Cricetulus griseus: one gene and its partner. The protein of the gene in region 2 purifies or fractionates together with the protein of the main gene of each other region. This does not show direct contact. Links are inferred from orthologs where the notes say so. Each region holds a gene or a part of one and is shown on either strand. Other genes may lie near its edges. The genes, in order: Vapb and Rab3gap1.

Evidence for each region.
Region 1: the proteins of Rab3gap1 (region 2) and Vapb purify together in Homo sapiens (affinity purification with mass spectrometry; 4 studies listed by BioGRID and IntAct, counting the BioPlex papers as one, with this or other methods). This does not show direct contact. The link is inferred for Cricetulus griseus from reciprocal best matches to the Homo sapiens genes RAB3GAP1 and VAPB.

The regions. Positions count from the first base shown.
Region 1 is NC_048599.1:5,239,668-5,252,067, forward strand, and holds part of Vapb (vesicle-associated membrane protein-associated protein B/C), read right to left. Parts: intron 6,179-12,400; coding exon 6,026-6,178; intron 1-6,025. UniProt on the Homo sapiens protein: Endoplasmic reticulum (ER)-anchored protein that mediates the formation of contact sites between the ER and endosomes via interaction with FFAT motif-containing proteins such as STARD3 or WDR44.
Region 2 is NC_048598.1:60,890,689-60,903,088, forward strand, and holds part of Rab3gap1 (rab3 GTPase-activating protein catalytic subunit), read right to left. Parts: intron 11,311-12,400; coding exon 11,218-11,310; intron 10,120-11,217; coding exon 9,953-10,119; intron 7,512-9,952; coding exon 7,422-7,511; intron 6,841-7,421; coding exon 6,668-6,840; intron 5,268-6,667; coding exon 5,213-5,267; intron 4,979-5,212; coding exon 4,607-4,978; intron 1,079-4,606; coding exon 941-1,078; intron 1-940. UniProt on the Homo sapiens protein: Catalytic subunit of the Rab3 GTPase-activating (Rab3GAP) complex composed of RAB3GAP1 and RAB3GAP2, which has GTPase-activating protein (GAP) activity towards various Rab3 subfamily members (RAB3A, RAB3B, RAB3C and RAB3D), RAB5A and RAB43, and guanine nucleotide exchange factor (GEF) activity towards RAB18.

The DNA of each region.
Region 1 (12,400 bases), on a different chromosome or scaffold from region 2:
TCGCCGCACCCCCGCCCCCAGCACTCGGATCACAGCTATCTATAACAGCTGCTGCTGCCCAAGTAGAAGATAGTCAGCTCACCAGTTCCTCCCTCCTCGGCCAGTAGACCTGGTTTTGGATCGGCAAGCATGCATCGAGCTCCGTGTCCTGCACCTTGGGACACTCTCCACCACTCCCAAAACCTACCCTCATTTCTGTGGTGCCCCTCACCACACTCATATCCTAGATGTCCTTTGAAGGAAGGTCAGCCAACTTTGGGATGTACCAGAATTGCAAAGGAGCCAATGAAATAGAATCTGCTGGCGGGGGTCCCACTGAGAACCTGCTCCTGGAGAACTGGGCTGTACTCTTCTCTGAAAGCCACAGGCATGGCTGGAAAGTGCCCCGCCTGTCCCTGCCAAGGGAAGCTCACTCACCAAAGCTTCTTTCTACAACCCCCATGTGCACTGTCTTGCCGATTTGCCTCTCCTAGTCAAAGTGAGTCAAGGGCTGGGTGTCTGTGGAACTTACATGTTCATGAGCACCCACTGGCTGGTGGTGTGAACCCTCTTCCCCTCCTAACTTCAAGCACCCTACACCACACTCCCTTTAGAGGGAGCTCAGTGGTGGTGGCACACGCCTTTCATCCCAGTAACTGGGCGGCAGGGCAACTGAGTTCAAGACCAACTAACTGGTCCACAGAGCAAGTTCCAGGACAGCCAGGGATATACAAAGAAGCTCTGTCTTGAAAAACCCAAAATAACAACAACAGTAGTAATTAATAATAATAAATAGAAATGTTCAAAGGAAGAGATTTTCCTGCCCTCACCCAACAGGCTCTCCTCTTTGCTCTCTCTTCCTCCCATCTCTTCTTGCTGCCTGCTCCCTCCTTGCACAGTCCGCTTGTCAGAAGACCACGGTCCACCTACCACACTGCATTTCTGAAATGATGGCACCACTGCTCTGCTTTAAACCAAAGCAAACATGAGATTCTTATCAGCTGAAGGTGGCAGGCGAAGCTGTAATGGTGGGACTCCAGCCTGAGATACAGGAGCAGACACTGCCGCTGGCCTCAGCCCTCACCATGAGTAAATTCATCATCTCCTTCAGGGCTCTCAGAATGCTGACCTGTGACTACTTTCCTGGGCCTCTACTGCCCAAGTCTAGCAGGTGAATAATTAATTTCTCCTGGTTATTAGAGGACTGTCGATCTAACTGCATCCCCTGTGGGCTTCTCGGCTCAGGTAGCAAGCACCTGGCAGCCTGCTCCACTTGTCTGTGCAGAGGCCACAGTGCACACTTTACCCTTTCTGCAGGACCAGCAGAAAGGAGGTATGCTACAGGCTGCTTGGGCCACTCAGTCCTCATTTCTCAGCTTCCTTCATGTGCTGTAACGAACAGGAGGATACAGCCTAGCCTCTCTTTGGGCCTCCCAGTGTAACTGTACACCCCACCACCCCCATCGTCTCTTCAGTAAGACCTGTGCATCAAACCTCTGAGGGCTGACCATCTGAAACACCCAGGGGACTTCCCATACCCAGCATCTTCTTTCTGGCCTGTTCTCTGAGCACTCACGACCAGTCTACCAGGTACTCTTGCTACCTCCTTTCCCAAGGCTGCCTCTCAAGCCTTCGCCCTGCCTTCTGCAATGAGCTAGAGACCAGAGTGGCTTGGTGAGATTAGAAAGAGCAGGATGGGACTCCTAGGGGAGCCAAGGGCATCACCTGAAAGGACCAGACTGGGGAGGCATTTACCACTGCACTCCTGAATCACCCTGCAATGCAAAAGGGTGCCCTCCAGCTGAGCATCCCCTGCCCAGGGCCCTGGGTCCTGCCCTTCGGTGACATCCGTAAAGGATGGGGATAGTCTCCCTAAGAACCCTGCAGCCTGCAGCAACCTTCGAAAGTTTTAAGCCCAATTAAGCTGAATTTTATTGGTAAAATATTTTAGGCCATAACCTAATCTGGTGAAAAGATTAGGGATTTATCTTAAGCAGCAGTGTAGGCTGTTCTTATCTCAGAGTAGTGAAGACTTCTCGTTAAAAGTCACACTTATCAGAGCCTTCTCAAGCAACGGCTGGGCCCAAGGAAGGTAAAGCCCCATGGCAGCCTCTCCTGTGCACACTGGGAGATGCACAGCAGGCTTCTTTGTCAGCAGGCTAGGAGCACCTTGACCCTGAGATTCAGCACCTGCATGCTGCAGCCCACAGCAGGCCAGTTCAATGCCAGTAAACAGTAGCATCCCCCCAAGCCAGCACCATCTTAAACAGATTAATAATCAGTTCCAATGCTACCCAATGATATGAACAGACCAATGTCACCATCCCAGGAGATGCTGACATCCATTCTGTTACTGGAAGAACTTTACAGTTTCAATGGAATTAAAAAGGAGTCTTGAAGGGGCTGTCAGAAACCTACGCTGCCCCTCTATGCTCTGGATTTCAGTTTAAAATACGGACTCAAGATACTGGGAGACCTATGTTTGGCTTTAATCCATCTTCAATCCCAGGGCACACTGAGTAAAGAGAATCTGTACCTAAAGACTGGCGTCTGTAATGACTCTATCCACACCCCCCATGGACGCTCTGCACGTGTAATGCACTTGGCACAGGGGCAGGCAATGGGGGTAACCAAACTACAAATGAAAGCGCTCACCACTTTGTGGGATTAGAATCCACAGAGGTTATACAAACACTAAACTTAATGTCTGATTACAGGGAGCCTCAGTATTTCTGATGGGCCCATAACTCTACCACCTCACCTGCTGCGCATGCCGGCAAACACTGTTTGGAATATTAATGGAAAAGTCCCTTGTTACTAAACTGTAACATTAAAAACAAGATCAAGATCTGCCACTGCTAACAGCCTTCCACAAAGACATCTTCAGAAATTACACACATCAAAAATATTTCTCTACTATACAGTTTGAAAGATAATTCTATAAAGCTAGAATGGGCCACTCCCACCTGCTTCTCACCAGTGATGAAGGCAAAGGTCCAACCCTCCCTGTGCCTGAAATCTCTGGGAACAACTCAACCACCACCACCACCACCACCACCACCACCCCCGACCCAGAATGCTCATCTCCACATGCCTGGGCTGCCAAGGTGCAAGCCCAGCTCACAAGGTCAGTGTTCATCAAGGACACATGTCTCATCTGTGGCACTCTGGGAGTGACCACGAGCTGTGCTGCGGACTACAGCACGCAGACTACCAAGGTCTACAGCTGTGAAGACAAAGGAAGGCCCAGAGCAGCTCTCCAGGAATGTCCACAGGTCACACTCGGTTGGCATAGAACCTTGGGCTATGCCTCTGCCCAACTGTGACTGGGCTGCCTAGATTAAGGAAAGGAGCCTCACGCACATGGATTCACTGTGTTCTGAAGGAAGCAATGCGGCCCGTCAGAGCCTGAGCTTCTGAAGCATGATGTAAGGTCCCTTGAACTTCAGGTTCATTGGGAAGGCAATCAAGGGTGTGGCTGAGGACCACTGCGGATGCCTGTCACAGCCAAGATGCAGGACACAAAGCCTTTTAAGCCTCAGCCTATCATCACCACTCTCACCCCCTCCAACCCTCTATCTCTCTGCTCCTCTCCTCCCCCTCTCCTCCCCCCTCTTTACGAGATGATTTATAGTTTCCTCTAATAGCTAGAGCCTCCAAGGGTCTTAAGAAAGGGAGGGAGAGTACAGTAGCCCTGTCCTTTCCAGGTGTCCTGTGACATTCTGGGTGCTAGGCAGGACCATGGTGATAGGCTTAAGTTCATTTGACTGTCACCATCTTGTCAATTGTGGGTGAAAATTCACTCATAAACGTGTGTTTTATAGGAATTCAGGAGGGCCACACATTTGCTTTTTTTAAGGCAATGCAAACAGTATACAATTCAGTCTCCATTCAAGCCTGGCTGTTTTTGCATTTACAGGGACAACACTAGAGTGTACAGAGGTGACCAGGCTGGCAAATGTCAGTCACAGGCACAATGACAGATCATGTGAAGCAACAAGTATGTGTGTGAGCACACTGGGGACAGCAGTCTGCCCGTGAACCTGCCTTCTCTAGGGGCTCTGACGCACCATGCTATCACCCCAGTGGCTGCACTCCTCGAGACCCAGGCCTGGACAAGAACAGTGCTTCTCCACCCAAGATATGCATGACTAAAGTGCGGCATTTGCACACCCAGAACCTAAGGCTGCACAGACTACATGGCTTTCCTGGCCCTCAGGCCACCACCAAGGACAGACAGGAGCATTTCCACAGAAACTTTCCATGTGCCACCCTCTCTCACGGGAAAGCTGCAAACGTCTCCTTAGTCAAGCAGCCCTCCTGCTCTCCCACCCCCTAATCTCAGATTCATGCTCAGGCAGCCACCCCCTACCTGGTGAGGCAGCAGCATAGTGCTATAGAAAGACCATCTGCCTCTAACCCAAGCGCTGCCTGACAGTCACGTGACAGGGAAGGATCGAATCCATGCCAGTTCCTTACTTTCTGATCTGCAGAGGAAGGCATAGCAACAAAAGCAGCCCTCACTGAGGAGCCTGAGGACTCTCACAACCTTCCAGAGACTAGGAAGGCCTTGCTCCTGGTGAAAGACACATCCGTATGCATGTGCACGCACACAATTACCTGTAACATCAGCAGGCACACCTACACTACCTATCTGCTGAGATTATTTCACTCAGAAAACCAGGCTGCTATTTTCCTATGAAAATTGGTGATTTCCATCTGCTGATAAACTCAAAATTTTCTAGGCTGTGTTATGGGTAAGGAAGCTGGGGGATGGGGCTAAAGAAAGGAACAGGGTTTCGACAAGCTCAGCCACACAAGGCCCTCTGGCAGCACACAAAACAGGGACAGGACAGAAGGATCCAGCTGCGCTAATCCCAGCCAAAGTTTAAGACACATGGAGGAAGCAGCAATCACACCCTGACCGTTCCTACTCTTAGGACACCAGTCACAGAGCGCTGGCTCTTCCACACACCCGCTTCATGACTCAAAAACAGACAGGGACCGGACATGACACCGCACTCTGCACAGTGCAAATGGTGGCAGCGTGTGAGCTCTGGCAGGGGGAACCCTTCGACCAGCGCTGGCTGCCAGCTAACTGCTCCTGACCCAAGATCTGACTCAGGAGTCCAGACCAGGCCTTGCACACTCAGAGAGGAGCATGCGGGGGAGCTGGGGGTGGGTGCTCTATGATGAGAGGCACCTACGGAGGCGAGGAATCAGAGTCCAAGATAATGAAACACCTTGTATCTTTCCAAAGAGGTGAGTCATTTTCTCTTAGGTGTCAGGTGAACAGCCAGATGCAGCACAATCAAAGTCCGTCATGGAAAAACCCAGACAGGCGCTCACTTCAAATGAGAAGTGGGGGACACTGAGTCATGGTGTCTAAAGGACACATCCTCCCCCACAGCCCCTCTGAGCATCACCAGTTCTAATGAGCTGCAAACCCACCGCTTCTCTAAACACATTTAAACTCTAACACATCACTCACGCCTCGATTCTGAAAACCAGCTCTCAATCTGGGCACCTCATCAGCCTCTTTCCAGAGGTTGGGCTTTGGAAAACATGTACCCTGATTGGGGGTCAGGGGTTGGGGGGGCATTAGAACACACAGGGCCCCACAACCGTGACTACATTCCCACCTCCTCAGCTTCAGTGAATAGAGGGCACCTCCAATCACTAGACATGAGCACTATCGGAAATCCTTTAGCATAAAGAAAATAACTCTATCTTGTATTCTCCCACAAAGTAAAATGAAGCTTGTTTAGTCCCTTTCTACTCCAAAAGAATGGAGGTGCCTACTCTCAAGTCAGGCTTAAAGCCACCGCTTTAACTTTGCTCCCCTACTAAGGCATAGGCAGTGCAAGCACGAAAACAAAGAGACATGGATTATAGAGAGTCGAGGGTGGTACCAACCAAGCTTTTACCCACGGTGGGATGGGAGAGGTGGGGAGGAGTCTGCACTGTCCTGAACATACCTGCTCTGACAAAGCTCTAGGCAGGGGTCCTCTGGAACCCACCCATGACCTCCAGAGTCAGCACTTACCCGACACGTTGAGAGAGGCCCCGGCATCAATGACCCCACTGTTAGGCCGCACGCAGTACCTGCGCGGTGCTGTGGTCTTCACTTTAAAACACACATTTCGGTCTGTTGGGTTGCCAAGCTTTAGGTTGGTGGTAACGACATCAGTGAAGGGACCTATATGGAGAGACAGACAGCTGGTTGGGGTCCTGTGAGGAAAGTGTAGGAGACAGACTAGTTTGGTGACAGAGATAACAGATATGGTGCGGAAGGAGCTGTGAAGAGAGCATAGCTAAGACAGCAGACCTGTATGAACGACAGGATCTAGAACCAGACAGTCCAAATACAACAACAGTTACCTGTGCTCAATATTCGCTTCTGCAAAACCCCTATGGAATCTGGCAGAAACTATACAGAGGACCAGGCATGGGTCCCCAGCGACTATTAAGAGCAGAGTGTACCAGGTGGCAAGTGGCAGGTGGCCTCTGGCAAGCAGGACTCTGTAGAGAGGAAAACCCCTAACAATTCGACGGCAAGGACAGCTGGCCTCACTCAGAGGCCTGCTAGCAACTCTAAGCATCAGGCTTCAGGGAAGCCTGGAACGACGTTCTGTGGCTCTGGGTTACTGTTTATTACTATTACTGTTCATTTCCTACTTTATTAGATTTTTTAATTAAAAAAGTAAAACACGCTTCTTAAAACAAACCAAACAATGAAAGATGTATAAAGAGAAGTTAATAAGCTTCATCTGTGCCTGAGGTAACTAACCAACCATGTGGGAGCTCGTGCAGCCGTCTAGACTTAGGAGCGATGTACACAGGACATGCCTGCACTATTGCTTCTCACTGGCTCATCAGTGGACACCTCACCACCAGGCTTTATGAGGGGGTCAAGGGGGTCAGGTCGAGAGAGAGGCGGCAGGACCTCCTGTCATGGCACATGCGCCTGTGTGTTCACGTCTGTGTGTTGCTATGGAGCAAACCCAGACCTGCGCATGTACCCAGTCTCTGAGCTACACCCCAGTCCCAGATCCAGTCTGCCCAGTTTCCCGTGAGTGCCACATCTTTGTTTCCTATAGGCAGGCTTTTCAGTTCCACCCTCACATTTATAAGGAAGCAGGGGAGGGGAATGTGTTTCCGTGGTTACAAAGAATATCCACTGGCTCACCTGTCACATGTCAGAGGCCCCAACAGACTCTCAGAGATGTGCTCTGAAATGCACCCTCAGCGGCTGAGGGCAGGGTTATGCTTTGTCCATCTCCATTCCCCACACTCTGCCTTGATACAGTAAAGGTCTTGAGACACATACACCAAGAAGAAAACTACTCACAGATTATCTCCAGAAAAGCAAGTGCCTTAGGCTGGCTTCCTCTGAGGTACTCAGGGTATGAAAGATCAACTGAATACAAGCTTAGCTTAAACACAAATGGTGGACTAAGGCGGAGAGGCTAGAGTCCAAAATCAAGCATAGTGCAGCACCAGTCTGTCCAACTGGGGTAGATATGCACATCAGGGGACACGCTGAGCATAAGACAATTTTCACATTTGCTAATGCACAATCTTGTCTGTAAGGAGCCCCAGACAATTGGTACCTGCTGAACCTCACTGTGCAAAACACATTGTCGCTGACATGGCTACTGGGCTCTGCTGCTTTCTTCACACATGGTCACCAGTCACTCATCCAACTTCAGCCTCCCGCAAACACACAGTAACTGTGGGCTGGAAGCCTAGAGCCACCTCCATATAGGAGCCCTCAGCTGTAGTGCCTGCTGGTCCATCAGCCCCTACCCCACTGGCCCTGTGGCTCCATTTCCCTGCTCTCCACAGCTCGGGGGACTGCGGGATGCATGTTTTCAATGCCTCACCCACTGAGGAGCGCTTGTCCTAAAAGCTCTTCTCATTTATGGGGAGCACCTCAGAGATCAAAAGGCCTGAAGACAATGTCTCCATCTGCCTACCTTGCCTTTCAGGAAGCCCTCCTCTAGCTCTAGCAACCAGGCTGAAAGCCAACAGGGGGACTTCCTGAAGGACTTGGAAGTGATTCCACAGAAAACCACCCAGCTCCCCGACTGGGAACATATGGGAAGCAGCTAACCTGTGCCCAGAGGGTTTTCAGCCACAGGGAGCAAGAGCTGGGTACTGACAAGGCACCACCCTTGCAACAAGTTCTTGGCCTCCAGGGAGAAATGAGACACTTTGTGCTGAGAACATCCAGGGACTTATGGGAATTCTACCCTGTCCCACCTCCACCGCATGCTGGCTGACTCATGGGAAGATGGGAAGGTTGATCCCCCTTTACTTAAGGTGGGGATCACTGCAAGTGAGCACCGTCTATAAAAAGGAGAGCTAAAAACAGCTTTGGTTTTCTAGGGCCAAAGAAAGTGGTAAGACCTACAAGCCTGCATGGTACAACTGGCCAGGCGGGTATTTCATAAACACACCCAACACCACTCTGCAAGCGCAGGTGTTCAGGCAGCCAGGGGTCCTGGAGGACAAAGTCTCTCTCTCACACACACACACACACACACACACGCACGCACGCACGCACGCACGCACGCACACGCACACGCACACCCTAAAGGGCTTGTTTCCAACAGCAAGTTTGGGAGGATAGAGGCAGGAGGACCAGAAGCTGAAGGTCATCTTTTGGTACATCTGGGATTCAAAGATGACCCTGTAGAGAATCATCTGAACATAACCCAGGAACTTACCAAGGAGCAGGCTGCAAAGCTTTCTGAGGAGATCTGCCTCTACAGTGTGGAAACATGGGCATACCAGATACACAACAGACATAGAGATACCTCACAGGCGAGCAGAACACTGAAGATGCCCACCCCAGCCCCTAGTGACTTCCCCTTCTGTTCCCATAAAGCTGGGCCGGGAACCCAGGTGGAGACTTCACCAGCTTCTTGTAGGACTCCAGACACATGAGCCAGATTCCATTGAGCACAAACGTGGCAAGTTCTCCGGGCCCGCCCCTTATGTGGCAATCTAAATGCTGTTTCAATTTACATGAATCACATAAAAGATGATCTAAATTATTAAAAGATGAGCGATATTGGTAACAGAGAGTGGGATGAAATAAGTAGCGTTTCCCCCCCGAGCGCCCGCCTTGGGTCTGGGCACTCATTTGTAAAACTCTAGAGGGAGCCATGCTGGAAATAGATGCAGCACAGACATCATTGGCAGGGCAGCAAAGTCTCATGGGTAAAAATCAAGGCATTTTGTAAAAACAGGCCAATCCTCCTCGCCCCACTCTGGGCAATTTACTCCACGAATTTTATTGAAAATAAATTCGATTTGAGTAATTACAGGAGATAAACCATGTTAGTGTTCTCCTTCCCCCGTACTAATGAATTAGAGCGCACAAAAACCGCAATAAAAATGATGGGAAGGCTTATGAGCCTCACTCAGATCTTTCCCAGTCACTTCCATTTCATAAAACTGCCATTCCCATTAAAGCATTATGTAAAAAATGGGATTTTACTCCGCAAACACGCATATTTATCACCAATGAATTTAAACATTGCTTATAAAATACAAAGTCAATTTTACAAATGAAATCTTCAAAAGTTAAGCTTTTTTCTTTTAAGAGATGAAAAAAAAATGATTTGTGTCTCTAGAGCTGGAACACATCGCTTCCTTTAATTACTTTCTTCCGTGCCATCTATCCCTTGGTCCAGATGTCTGTGTGAAATTAGAAACTACACATCTCCAGCATGAATGAGCACGGTGAAGCAACCTCAACCTGAAGTAAATTCCCAGAATGCTTTGACATTTTTTTTCTTCTCTGTAACAGGCTGAATGGGTTCTTCCTTCCCCGTTACAGCTGTGTGCACCTGCGGGCATTTATTAAGGTTGATAAAGATGCTCATGAAACAGCATTAACTAACAGAATATGAACTCCTCCACTTGTTCTTGAAGGGATTAGATCCAGCAAAGCAGGGCATAAACCACCCCGCACCCTCCCCAGGCCTTGTGGCTTGATTCTCCGTCTTTTTAAATTACTTAAGAAAGTAAGGTCTGGATTCCTTGTTTGAGAAAGCAAAGAACACAGACCCAGAAGAAATGTTCATAGTCACAAAAGTAGATGGGGAGAATGGTTGTTCTGTTGCAGGTCACAGGACACAAGTTCAGACTTCAAACACTATCTTCAAGTTCCAGGTGCTGAGATCTCTCCAGAGACAGCCAGATTCAAGCCAGGCCCTCCGCAATCACAGAGGCCCAGGCAGGAGGGCTGTGAGTTCAAGGTCAGCCTGAACTACACAATGCACAACAAGAAATTCCAGTCTACGGTGTAAGATCCTGTCTCAAACAAAACAAGACAAGAGAGCTGGGTAATTTTATGAATCAGGAAATGCTCGGGTAATATCTAAGTGCTCCCTGAACCTTTGCAAGGTCTGACCACTTTGTGGTGGCACAGAGAGCATCATTAACACAGAACTCCTCCTGTCAGGAAACCCAAACTCCAACTCAGCAAGACAGCAGCTAAAGGGTCCATATCTGGCAGCTGTAAGGGCCATGGTGAAAGCAGAAGGAGCTCAGGGCTCAGCCTGGGATGTTCTCATTTGCAGACTTAAGTGTGTCTTAGGGTTCTGTCTGGTAAGTGGCAAGACTGCATGCTGAAATGGTAAAGATGCATTTTATTTTTAACACAGCAATTCAGTTCTACTAGAAAATAAAGATTAGCAATGCCTAATATAGTGGGCATGGTGGCACACACCTTTAATCCCAGCACTTGGGAGGCAGAGGCAGGCGGATCTCTGTGAATTCAAGGCCAGCCTGGTCTACACAGTAAGTTCCAGGCCAGCCAAGTCTACAGGTGGGACACTGTTTTGCAATTAATAAGTAAACAGATCCTAAATGAGACTCTTGGAAGGTAGCATGGAAGGAAATCTAAATGACTTGGACTTGGGTGATTTTTTAGGAAAAACAAGCATGGTGGAATCCATGGAAGAAAGAAGTGAACGGGTTGGACTTCATTCAAATTCCCAACCTGTGGTCTGGGCTGGGACTCTCAGGAGCACTGCTGCCTAACACTCAAGAAGCCCTGGTCCCGTTTCCAGCACTGAAAAGTCAAATAAAAACATCTGCTCTGCAAAAGACATTCCAACAGGCTGGAAGGACAAGCCAGCTATGGAGCAGGAGGGCTACCTGCAGACGGTGGGCCTGATAAAGGATCATCTGCAGAACATATGGAAAACTCTTGAACACACCACCTGGTTTGAAAATAAACAAAAGAGATGTAGAATTCCCACCAAAGACAGGCAGAGGGCAGGGGGCACATGGGAAGATGCTCCTAGAAGAACACAGGCTGAAAACAATGAGGTGTTGTCACTTGAAAACAATGAGATGTCCTCACTTGCTTCCCAGCACAGCTGAAGCCAATGCAGCCACTGTGAAAAGCAGCCAGGTTTTCCTTTTTTCTTTTCTTTTTTGGGGTGCTATTCAAAATTAAATTGAGGGCCTCACACATGTTACACCCGGTCCAGTAGGTGTTTCTTATAAAACCAACCCTAGTCTCCTTATCTAAGTCAGCCATCACTCCCCTTGGCACTCCTTGAAGTGGAGACTCAACGGTCTCACCAGAGGCAAAACCAAGTCCTTCAGAAAGTAGAGACAGACAGGGGGATAATATTCACCAAGAAATAAGTAATTAAGGCATGAAAAGCCATGGCAAGACCCTAAATTCATATTCTAAGTGACAGTCACCATGTGGCATTCTGGAAAGGGCAAAACTATGGAGATGGTAACATGGTCCTGGGCTGACAGAGTGAGTGGGTTCGCAGCAGTGAGAGCCCATGAGCCACCAGCAGAGCCCAGGGCAGACAATGGACTTCAGTAGGTACAGGGCCCCGGGCTGTAAGAAGTGCAGCCAGCACTGATGTGGGAGCTGTTCTGTTGGGGGCTCCCCTTTCTACACCATCTTCCATGAAGCACAACTGTCTACACAAGAGCTTTATTATAAAACAGACGGGTGCGGCTTGCTACACCTGCGTGTGCATACCAACCAGCACAGGGGAGTCACTGACACTCTCACTTTGCACAGAAACCTCTTCCTCTTCTAGGGCTCGTGAAATCCTAGTTTATGGCTACCGTCCTTCCTGTGTAATTTATCTTCCGGTACAGCCACAGCCTTTGGCATCCACACTGCGTGTGCTGCCATACAAGTCACACACCGAGCTGACGCGTCATCTACCAGGTCTTGGCCTTCCGGACTGAAGCTGATGTTATTAGCTTGGCTGCAGCAGCTCTTGAGTCTGCATGAAAAGGCGAATCAGTTTACTGTCTTGTGAACACTGCTACTCCCCTCTCAGTGACCCTCCAAACAATAAGCAGCCACGTTCACTTCAACCCTACAGAGAGCCTTCAGGCAGGAGTGAAGACTTCTGATGGATGT
Region 2 (12,400 bases):
AGTAGATTGGGAAGCCTTTGGCCCACTGGCCTCCCCATCTGAGTTATTTTTCACACTCAGGTTGAGTATTCCTTAATCCAAAATACATGGGGCTGGGAGTGTTTTGAACTTTTTTAGATTTGTGGATTTTTAGAGACACAATATGAACTCAGAATCAAATCTAAACATGAAATTCATTTACTTTTCATGCATAACACACACACATAAATGACTTAAATAACTTTGTATAGTGTGGAATTTCTACTTATAGTGTCAGACACTGGGGGCTGGAAAGATGGCTCAGCAGTTAAGAGCACCACCTGCTCTTCCATAGGACACTGATTCAATTCCCAGCTCTCACATGGTGCACAGATATACATGCAGGCAAAATAGCCATACACATAAAATTAAAGTTTCAGATATTGAATCATGTAGTATGTTATGGTTAAGGACACTCAAATGTCACTGTTACCTATATGCTTTGTGTTGTACACCAAGTATTATCCAAGCCCACAATAACCCCCTCCAGGTAACAAATACTGACTCTTCTTAGAAACTCCCCATAAATGGTCAACAAGTCAGTCACTTCTCCGATCCTGACTAAATACTTTATCTCCCCCACCTACTCATAGTGTGTGGCACACAAATGTTTGTTGTAATCCCAAGAGTTTCCTAAATGCCTTAAATTGGTTGGGCACACACAAATGAAAAAAAAAAAAAAAATTCCTAACACAGAGAGAATTTATTCAGTTCTCAACTTTGGAAAGCAGGTTGATTTTCTTTTGTCAAACCTAAGAATTGAGTCTGATATATCCTTTGGGTGCTGAGGTAGAATTTTGTAACAAGTAATGAATCCAAACACTAAAAAAAGACACAGTCTTCATATCACTTTATTGTGTTTTTCACAGTTTCACCCCAGAATAGCTGAAAATAGACCCAGAGTTCTGAAAGTGTGACCCACCTTAAAAGACTCCATATCGGAAAGCAGACAGGCACTCTGCATGCGTGCGCGGAGGTGTGCCCCCTCAGCAGAGGTTCCTAATTTAGCTAAGACCTCAGACTGCTCTTCCAGCAGATCTTCAGTCATGGGTGCTGGTTCCTGTGAAGCACAGAAGGACAAAAGTCACCAGTGGCCCCTTTTAAACAAAGGAAAACCTCAAAAATGAAATAAAAAATTGTTTCTGTCATGTAGCCACAGCATACAAGTTTGAAAGAATTCAGAGAAATGTAAAAATTTAACAATCCTCCCTTTTAAAAAAGTAACAAATTAAGAATAAATGATTCACCAGGCAGTGGTGGTACACACCTTTAATCCCAGCACTTGGGAGGCAGGGACAGGTAGATATCTAGGCATTCAAGGCCAGTCTGCTACAGAGAAATCCTGTCTTAAAAAGACAGACAAACGAGATGTGTGTGTGTGTGAGAGAGAGAGAGAGAGAATATAAATGACTCTCAGGTCAGGTCTCCTATCCCTGACAGACAAGACTACCAAGTTTCCCTTGTCAAGAACGCTAAGCTAAAAAGGGACTGGCATTTAAGGCACATGTTTCTGCCTATTAATGTAAAATTTTAGTGCAAAAAAACAGGCTGCAACTGATCAATGTTAGAATGATAGTTCTGACAGGAAGTTTTCTTTGTTCTACAGCTATCACCCATCACTTTGAATGAACAACAATTAAGTACCAGGTAAGACTTACTGACATACAGGGTGGACAATGATTGGTGAGGCAGGATGGCACACTGGTTCAGACAAACAGTTCCCAAGCTAGGTTTATACTGGAATTCCACTATGTAACCTCACTCCTTTCAGAGGTTGTCTGAAAGCTTAGTCCTGGCACACACTTAGTAAACACTAGCCGTTATAAGTAAAACACATATAAACTTCAGTCTCTCCCACAAACTAAACATAATTATTATAGGCAGACAGGTTTACAAATTACATGAGCTTCTACTGAAACAGCACACTTCAGAGCAGAGGCCTTCCTCTTGCTATTAATGAACTATCTCTATAGCTGTGAAGTCACAGCATGGAAGAAAAATTATTAAATGATAAACACGAATGAACCACTAGTGCAGTAATATACATGAATCCAAAATAAAACTGTGCTGGAAAGAATTAGCCATATAAACACATAATGTAGGTAGGCATGATGGTACATGCCTATAATCCTAGCACTTGGGAGATGGAGGCTAAGGATCTGGGATTTAAGATTATGAATTCACAGTGAATTCAACACCAACCTGGACTACATGAGACCTGACTCATCTTTTTCCCTTTCTCCCCACATCAAAAGCCAAGAATATTTCTGTCCTCCTTAGGTTTTTGTTGCCATGGCAACACTGACCAAAACCACCTTGAGAAGGAAAGGGTTTATTTATCTTACAATTCTCAAGTCAAAATCTATCACTAAAGGAATTCAGGGCTAGAACCTGGAGGCAGGAAGCTGAGGCCACGGAGTTATGCTGTTTGCAGCTAATTGCACTTCATGGCTTGCTCAGCCTGCTTTCTTATACAACCCAGGACCACCTGCCTAGAGGTGAGCACCATCCAGTGGGCTGAGCGTCCCAAAATCAATCATTCACCTAGAAAAAAAGTCTTATAGAGCCAATTCCTCCAGTGAGGTTCCCTCTTCCCTGGTGACTCTTGTTTGTGTCATATTGACAAAAACTAATCAGTACAATCCTGTATTATTCTGTGAACACATAATACAAGTAATCCCATTTATATTTTATTTACTTATTACTGTTATATGGACCCCTGACACATCAAGTGAAAGGGATCACACACAATAATCACATACATTGTTGATAGGATAGAAATTAGATCAACCACTTAGAGACACAGTTTAGTAATAGCTATGAAAACATTTCATTATATAATTCACAGGAAATCATGGCCAATAAACATTGAAGGATTCATCAAAAGTCAGGAAAGCCAGGCAGTGATGGTGTACACCTTTAATCAGCCTTCAGGTAACAGAAGCAAACAGATCTCTATGAGCTTGAGACCAGCCTGATCATCACAGTGATGAGGGCTACATAGTACAGCCTTTCTCAAAAAACCAAAAAAGGAAAAAGTCAGGGAAATAAAAGATACTATGTCAGTATACTACTGACAATGATATGGACTGGAAATGTAGTTTATGAAAGTGAAGTAAAATATAAGTAATTTCAGTGCTAGAACCTTATTGAAGCCATAGCTACAAGCTGTTAGCACATACTAAGCATTTCATCATATAAGAAAGGGAGAGAGTGAGAGTTAATTTTTCCTTACCCTTTCATTTACCACTGATGAGGATGTAAAACAGGTACGACCTCTTTAAAGGGACCTTGAGAGCATCTATCTACTTACCTAGTAATGCCACTTTTCTTATGTAATAATGGCAGGGATAGACATTTAAAAGAGCAAAACCTTGTGAATGATATGCACACAGTGATTGACAGGAATAATTAAATAAGCTATAGCTCTTCCATGTGTTAGAATATTATGCAACAATTACAAAGAAATGGCACAGATATACATATAATGGCATCAAGACGGGATAAACAAAGAGCTGAATACCAGTGCTCATATTCAGAAATAAAATCAAATCATAAATATCAATATGTATATATTCATGCACAGAAACATAACTCAAATAGTAATAATATTTACTTCTGAGGATAAGAGCCGAACCAATAGGCAGTAGCTTGATTTTTTTTTTAGAATAATAGGTATTCACATATCATTTATGCAAAAACCAACCACCAAAAATGAATTCTTTCCTAGACACTGAATTCTGTCCTAATGGTATAAAATGGTTTTAAAACATATTTGAAGAAATAAAAATAATCCTAATTAAAGGACTATTATTTTTGTTCTTTCCATTCCATATTTTTGGAGTATTCCATACTCAGTTTAAGAAATAATCATTCTACGGGGTTCAGGGACCACTGTTGAAGAGGGGCACAGAAAGTCTACAAGAGAAGACAAAAGCAAAATAGCGTGTCTGGAAATGACTAGGCCCCTGCACCCATTGATTCGCTGATTCACAGCAGCTGTAACTGCAGCTGCCTGCATAGGATCAAGTCAGTCAGCATTCCAACAGGGAGTGGAAAGGGGTTCATGAGCTCCCACCCACGAGTAAGGAGCCATGGACAGATGATGGTTTCCCAGAGAGAAGAGAGTCAGTTTTTCTTTAAGGGTGTGGCTTCTAGTAGGCCAACCATGTTCCAGTAGGTGGCTCCACACCCAAGAGTATGTAGGCAAAAAAACTGGACTTGATGGGCTATTTAAAAAAAAAAAAAAAAAAAAAAAAAAAGAGGACACAAAGTTAAGGAGGGTAAGGAAGGTACAGATTCTAGAAGTCAGGGGAAGAAGGTGAGGGAGAGTATGATCAAAACACACTGCATGGAATTCTCAAAGAATTAATAAGTCACTGTATCTAAGGTGAGTGCTATCTACTAAAGGTTCAAAACACCACTCAGTTTCAGAGTGACAGACCTAGAAATTCCACAGTTCATTTCAATTCCAAACCTAAACAGGCTTTAAGGAAATCTCCCCTACCAAAAGCAATCTTCCCTCCTACTAGGGAAGAAATTAATCAATAACAAAAGGGAACTGAATTTGAAAGCCTTGTGTACATACCTGGGTCACCGGAATGTAGAGAGGCTCTCCATTATACAGCAATGTGAGTTTCCCATGCTGGTGCAGCCGTCCTTCTGGCTTTAAGTTTGCCATCTCCTTGGGGCCTCCTTTCTTGCCACTCTCCTGTCCATTTCCTTTAAGGTCTTCAGTATCACTGAGGCATTCAAAAAATTCTTCTTCACTATCACTCCAGGAGTCCCAGGATTTCACCACTTCTCCCTTTTCCTTCTCTGTATCTCTGAGATGGTCCAGGCCTAGCTGGCTTCCAGCTTTCCCAGCATCCCCTGGATATGCATTAGTTACATTATCTGAAGGGCTTGTCTTTTTCCCCTCATCACGTGCTTTCTTCCTTTCAATACAACAATTTAACATCTGAAGAAAACAGAAATAACATTCATGGATGAGTTAGTAAAAAGCAAAATGTATCAATTGCTTGGGTATTTCTTTCTAATCTTTCCCAGGACCTTGCTAAGAATTATAGGGATTATAAGCAACCCAGAAGCAGCACAAGGAAAACAGCCTATATAAGCCATTACTACACTTAAGTGTTAGCTTAAGCTTCAAGTGTGTGTGTACACACTGCTACAGCTGTGGGGAAACTGTTACCTGTAGTTTCTGATGTAGTAAACAACATCTTAGATCTGGTGGTCCACTTGTTAGTCTACCAAATAAAGGAAAAAAGAAAAATAAAAGCTTAGTTTTAATAAAATTATACCAGACAAGCCTACTTATTCATGGCCATATTTTTTAGCTGTATTGTCAAGAAGCTAATACTAGATTTTTCTACATAAGAAAGCCAAATTCCAGGAGGGTACACATGACTAAAAGTTCAAATTTACTTTTATCCTCATAGCTCACAATCAACAGCAAATGTAAAAGACATGTGAAACATAGGGCAAACTCCCAACAGCTTCCAAGCTCATTAGAAACTTGAGTCTCTAAACCCACCACAGGAAGTAACTAGTGTACAGTGCTTTGCACATCACACGAACTAAAGTCAGCCATGCATTCATCTTTCAATTATTAGGTGGATTCTCATTACACAAACCAAGGTCTTTCTCTATCTCTATTTTTCCAGTGAGATCCTGGCCTCCCTCTGGTTCTAAATCACTAGGTTCTTCCATTCAGTGTGCTTCTGCATGTGTGGTAACTTTCAGAGCAAAACAGTAACAGCCAAGAGAAAATCCAGATAAACAGACTGGCAAACTCCCTAACACCAAGCACTTTTGGGTTAGTAGCCATTTTCCACTAGTCACATGACTTTCTGTTTAACACAGGTAGACAAGCATTAGCCTAGAAGTACGGCCATGAATACTCAGTAAATGGTCTATTCAATTGACGGACGAAGTGTCCATATAAAAAGATTCTAAATAATGTTTAGTGCATGAACTTACAGTGCCCTTTAAAGGTACTTTCCTTCAAATAATAAAATATATATGGATGCATAAAGAAATACAAAGAAGAAAAAAGTACTTTCACACCTGGGAAAACTATTAACTGTATTTCTCTCCAATCTTTTTCCTACACCTACATATCAGCATAATTGAAAGCATTCTGTAAGGTGTTACCACACCTAATCAGTAATATAGTTTCTATGCCTTTGTTTGTTGAAACAGGGTCTCACTGCATAGCTCTGACTGGCCTAGAACTTGCTATATGGAGCACACTGACCTTGAACTCAGAGATCTGCTTGCCTCTGCCTTTTTGCCTCCTGAGTGCTAGGAAATAGGCATGTGCCACCAACCATGCCCAACACAGTTTCTGGGTTAAGGTTCTTGAGGGCTTCAGATATAGTTCAGTGATAGAGCACTTGCCTAGCATGTATGAGGCTCTAGGTTCAATCCCCAATACACCACTTAAACAAAAAAACAGACTTTGACGGAAACCGTAGACAGGCAGCACAACTGAACAATTCTTCTACTGACAGGTTGTCAGGCCTTTTCTCCTATTATAAATGTACTGCACTGAACACCTCTGAGGAAGCTGTATCCACATTTCTTACTACTTTTCAGGAAGGGTTCCTAAAAAACTACCCAAACAATTGGAAATTAAAATTATTACCCTGGAATCAGAAAGTTGTTTTCCCATCTGAAGCGCATTTCAAGAACAAATTCCTGCCAGAGATGTGCCACTCCCTTCAGCCCTCCATGGTAAAAATTGATCATACAAAGACACAAAGCCAGTTTGTATGTTAAACTGTCAGAGGGCGCAGATTTGAACTGATTGTAGAGAGTCTAAATTTAACAAAAGAGAAACAAATAAAACCCTGTTAACAGCAAATTTGCATACATGAACAATAAGCATGTAAGAAGAATCACATAGTTAACCAATAAGAATCTGCTACAAAACAAACTTAATGATTTGACAAGAACTCTAAAATAAGGGGACTCTGACAGCTATGCATAGTATACTTATGCTATTATCTTCTGTCTCCTAAAAGCTCTTGCTACCCAAACAGGGATCTATGTAAAACATCCTAAGCAGGTCATTATTTGAGTGACTGTGAACTCCACTCAATTTCCCAAGACTTTGGTTTTGGGGGGGGGGGGAGTTGGGAGGAGTGGGGTTCAAGACAGGGTTTCGATGTGTAGTCCTGGTTGTCCTGGAACTCACTCTGTAGACCAGGCTGGCCTTGAACTCACAGAGATCCACCTGACTATCTCCCGAGTGCTGGAATTAAAGGCGTGTGACACTACTGCCCGACTCCAAGATAGTTTTTAAAATGAAGAGATACTTAGGTTGCCACACTAGACATTCAGCAAAACTTTAGAAATTAAGTGCATTTAAAATACTTTAATGTTGAAGTTCAACTTACATAGTCTTCACCCTCTGGTGGAGGGTTGCTATTGTCTATTGAAGCAGTTGCATCCGGTGGCTTCTCAGAAGCAGCATCTGGGAACAAAAACTGGGAAAGGGAATAATACATGTTAAACTTGCCTGCTTTGCTGATTTTTTTATTTCCTTTCTTTTCTCTCTCTTTTTCTTTTTTGAGAGACAAGGTCTCACTATATAGCTCTGGCTAACTTGGAATTCAATATGTAGACCAGGATACTGAAGAACTCACTGAGATCTTAGGCCTGCTCTGCCTCCCGGGTGCTGGGAATAAGTGTGTGAGCCACCAATCACACCTGGCTATTCTGTTGATTTTTATAACCCACAGAAGACACTGTCTGACTTTCCAGTGGATTTGCTGTTAAAATTATAGAAATGTTCTTACTGTGATGTCCAGCTGATTCTATATTCAGTCAAAAGAAATTTTTTTCAGTAATACACAAATTTCAGAAAATCTGCATTCAAATAACCACTTGATTCTGCAAACTGAGCAACACAGAAGCAAAAATCTCATCACACTGATTCCATACTCAAATATACATATATAGATAGATTTAATAGTGTAATATGTTTACCTTGTGTAAGAGAAAAATGTGACTATCTTTAGAGTCAAAGCTAACAGACAACCTAAAAGCACCCCTGTATTTAAGTGGTAAGATCATCCACATGTTTTCGTGTATGAAACACTAAAGGCATGGTATGAAAGACCTATGTATCTTCTCTAGGCTCGGTGTGTGTGGGTTTTAGTCAGACACTGATGAGATGGGAGGTTTCAGTGCTGATGATGACTATATAATTTGCACTTTGAAAACTTTTTTTTTTTGGTTTTTCGAGACAGGGTTTCTCTGTGTAGCTTTGGAGCCTATCCTGGCACTCGCTCTGAAGACCAGGCTGGCTTTGCCTTCACAGAGATCCACCTGCCTCTGCCTCCTGTGTGCTGGGATTAAAGGCGTGCACCACCAATACCCAGTGCACTTTGAAAAGTTTTAAGGTTACTTTTTTTGAAGATAAGGTTTCACTATAAAGCCTAGGCTGGACTTCAACTCATGACCTTCCTGCCTTAGCCTTCCAAGTGCTAGGCTTACACCACTTTACCAAGTTGTAAGGACACACTTTTAAGGAGTCTTCTATACAGAAAATTACTTTCTTTTATTAGTATCCAAACTGTTTTCTGATATTGCTACCCAATAATCTGTCTTCTTTGCCACATGCTCAGACTTTTTAGTTTTTTAGCCAATATTTAACAGACTTATTGAAGTAACTACTAATTACTAAGAGCCAGCAGAGGGACATTTACAAACACTATCCCATTCTCGTCTTACCTACATTTATAATGTACCAGCTATAGATTAACTCTAAGAGTTTTGCTCAGAAAAAATGGCAAGACATATGCTCAGGTCAGCATCGGATCTACATACAGCATTCCCTTTCCCTTCATTACACTATGCTTGAAGAGTTTCCCTCAAGACTATATTATAAGTATAGTTACAATAAAAACAACCATCATTAAATAAAGATCTATTACATGCCAGAAAGTACCACACATGGCCTTTAATTTTACAACACTCTCCAGTTCCTTTTTTTCCTGTTTTTTTTTTTTTTTTTTTTTTTGGTGGGGGGAGGGGGGATTTGAGGCAAGGTCTCTCTATTATGCATTTCTGGCTGTCCTGGAACTCACTATGTACACCAGAACTCAGAGAAGTCTGCCTGCCTGTGCCTCCTAAATGCTAGGACTAAAAGTGAGGGCAATCATGCTGGACTATCGGCTTCATATGAGAGATGAGAAAAATGCAGTGACTTGTTTCAAGTCGGTACTTGTGGGAAGTCAGTATTCTCTCTGCTCTGTGGTTCCCAGGCTGCACCCAATCCAATTACATTATACCTAGGATGCACCTAACCCTCTTCTTTGTTTCCTCTCTAGTCCTTACTGTATAGATTTTTCTAGACTGTTCTGATAAGAACATTTTGAAAGTTCAATTTCTGTCACAAACTGATGTGTTTCAAGCAGTGTTAGACTGTAAGACAGAAGTGAAGTGCCGCATCATGCAGGTTTCCTGCTACCTGCCCATCCTTACCCTACAAACACCACTGTTCAACATGTCCTTGGGCAGCAACAAAGTAAAACCTTAGTGCCCAGTCTTGTGCTTCTTGACTTAGCTCCCAGTGCTCTTTAGGAAGCTCTTTAGACCTCCCATTATGCACGTTAGTACACACGTAGCTACACACGGGCATGCACACACACACACACACACACACACACACACACACACACACACACACACACACACACACACACACGCACACACACAACACGTTCTGTTCTCTTCTTACTGCCTCCTTGTCCTGTTTGACTGTAACTCCACTTCTCTTCTTCCCACTAACTAGTAATGGTCTCTGAATGTAGAACTGTGTTTTACACTTTACACTTCCAATCCAGTGGTTGCCATAAAGAAGGAACTGAATATATAATGAGCACATGCTTATGCAGACAAACAAAATCGAGGTAGCACTTACCAAGAGAATGGTATTGAGAACATCATTGTTCAGTGGTGATTCTTCTCCTCTGTGCTTCCGTATTTTCTTCTTTGCAGTATGTACCATATTTGAAACTGATAATTTATGAATTGGAACTGGTGCTGGTTCCGTCAGCTTTGACAGAGCATGAGTTATATCTGCAACTTCTACAATGCAGAAAGAAATGCAAATTATATCACCAAAAGTGGTAGGAAAGTGATCAGTAAACTGATTGAAGGGACCAGACCCTCACTCAGCCCCTGCTTTAGCAGCCATAACAGGCTACAGAAAAAACATGTAGGCCTCTAACATAAGGAAAACTCCAGATCCTCGGGCCAAAACTGAACAATAACAACAAAAAAACTCCAGCCACTACCTCCCCTCCCCAGCCTCTTAGATGCTTGGTTCCTAGGAACTGTTTGGCCACAAAAGAAACTCCAGGGAAGACCAAAAACTCCAGGGGAGACTTCCAAGATACAGTTCTGAAAACTATTGGTATTTATGAACAACAGGCCACCTGCAAGTAACAAGACAAAGCCATAGAAACTACAGAATGTTCCCTCTCAGCACTGACCAATGAGAATAATTGGTAGACAGGTATTTCATGCCAAAATATGATTTTGAGAAATTCTCCTAATTGTTCCCAAATGTCAACCAATCAGAAACCAACCCGTACCTACTGATGTAATCCTGTAGCTTTTGTCCTTAAAACCTAGCAGTAGACAGGGAACTTCGCTCCCTCTGGTGGCTGCTGCATCAGAAAGCCAGACAGGGTCCCTGTCATGGTTGGATGAACAATAAAACCTTGCTTTTACAGTTCAGTGGGTCTGTCTCTCTGGTGGTCTCTGGGGATCTTCGCAACTTGGGCACAACAATGATGACATTCACATTTGAGTTCTTCTTTACACAAGTATTACATGCTTTCAGAATTATAAAATTTAAAGTTCTGACTCACAAGTTCAGCTTTACATGGAAGTGTGGTGTCAGAGATAAATCACACAAATTATTTTTCCTTGGGGGACTTCAAACATGAATATCTAAAATTCTGCTTTTCAAAATACATTACTATGTTTTTCTGTGGCAAGAATTGATTAAATGCATTTGCTGTCTTAACAAGTTCTGGGTACAGCCTGGAAAGAAAGGCATGTGTGCAATCCATCTACACTTGCTTCTCCAACTTGACTCAGATAAAAAGTTGTCAGAATATATTCCAAAGAGCAAGGGCAAGGCTTTAAAAAGAATGTAAAAAAGGAAAACTATGTCACCTCTTCCTTCTTCCTCAAATGTGGATCGTCCAAGAATCTCATCAGTTGATTCCTTTCGACGGCAAATTTTTAAAAACTCAGTGACAAAATCACCTACATTAAAAAAAAAAACTTACTCATTTTTGACATTTAACTCCAAGAAATCAATTCATCTTAAGTACACCTGTCTCTGTCTCTCTCTCTTCTTCAAGACAGGATGTCTCTGTAGCTTTGGAGGCTGTTCTGGACCTTGCTATGTAGACCAGGTGGCCTTCAACTCACAGAGATCCACCTGCTTCTGCCTCCTGAGTGCTGGGATTAAAGGCATGTGTCACTACCGCCTGGCCTACGTACACTCTCTTAATAAAAGCTATAAGATAAGATATAGTGTGGTGGTGGCACACACCTTTAGTCCCAGCACTCAGGAGTCAGGAGGAGGTCAATCTGTGAGTTCAAGGCTAGCCTACAGTGTGCGTTCCAGAATAGCCAGGACTATACATAGAAACCCTAGGCTTAAAAGCTATGGTTGGGGGGAAAGATCTATTTTGCTCTGAGGAAGATAAAAAAAAAAAAACTGCCCATTTCAGAAGTGGACTTGTTCCTTTTCTCCATCTGGGGACAGAGCAGACTCTCTACTCAGTACTCCTTCTGTTTGGGGTCAAGCTTTCCCCTAGCTCACTAGCCAGCTCCCAGTCTCAGGAGCACTTTCATTCTCAATAAGATGGTTCTATTTCTGTAATGAAATTTTCCTTCTAGAAGGAAAGGAAAACAAAATGTACTTCATAATATTAAGCTCTTTTTATAGGTTTCAATGTTACCAATATCCTTTATCATTAAATCATAAAAGTAACAATATGATTATATATCATTTTCTTTCCCTGTTATCCTACAATACTCTATAATACTTCTTTTCTTTTTCTTTTTTTTTGGTTTTTTTTTTTTTTTTTTTTTTGAGACAGGGTTTCTCTGTGGCTTTGTAGGCTGTCCTGGAACTAGCTCTTGTAGAGCAGGCTGGTTTTGAACTCTCAGAGATCCACCCACCTCTGCCTCCCAAGTGCTGGGACTAAAGGCGTGTGCCACCAACACCCGGTTCCTACAATACTTCTGAAACAAAATATATTAAACTCCAAATACGTTTCTAGAGGATCAATAAATCATGAAACATGAAACTATTACATCTTTGGTTGCATATTAATGATACACT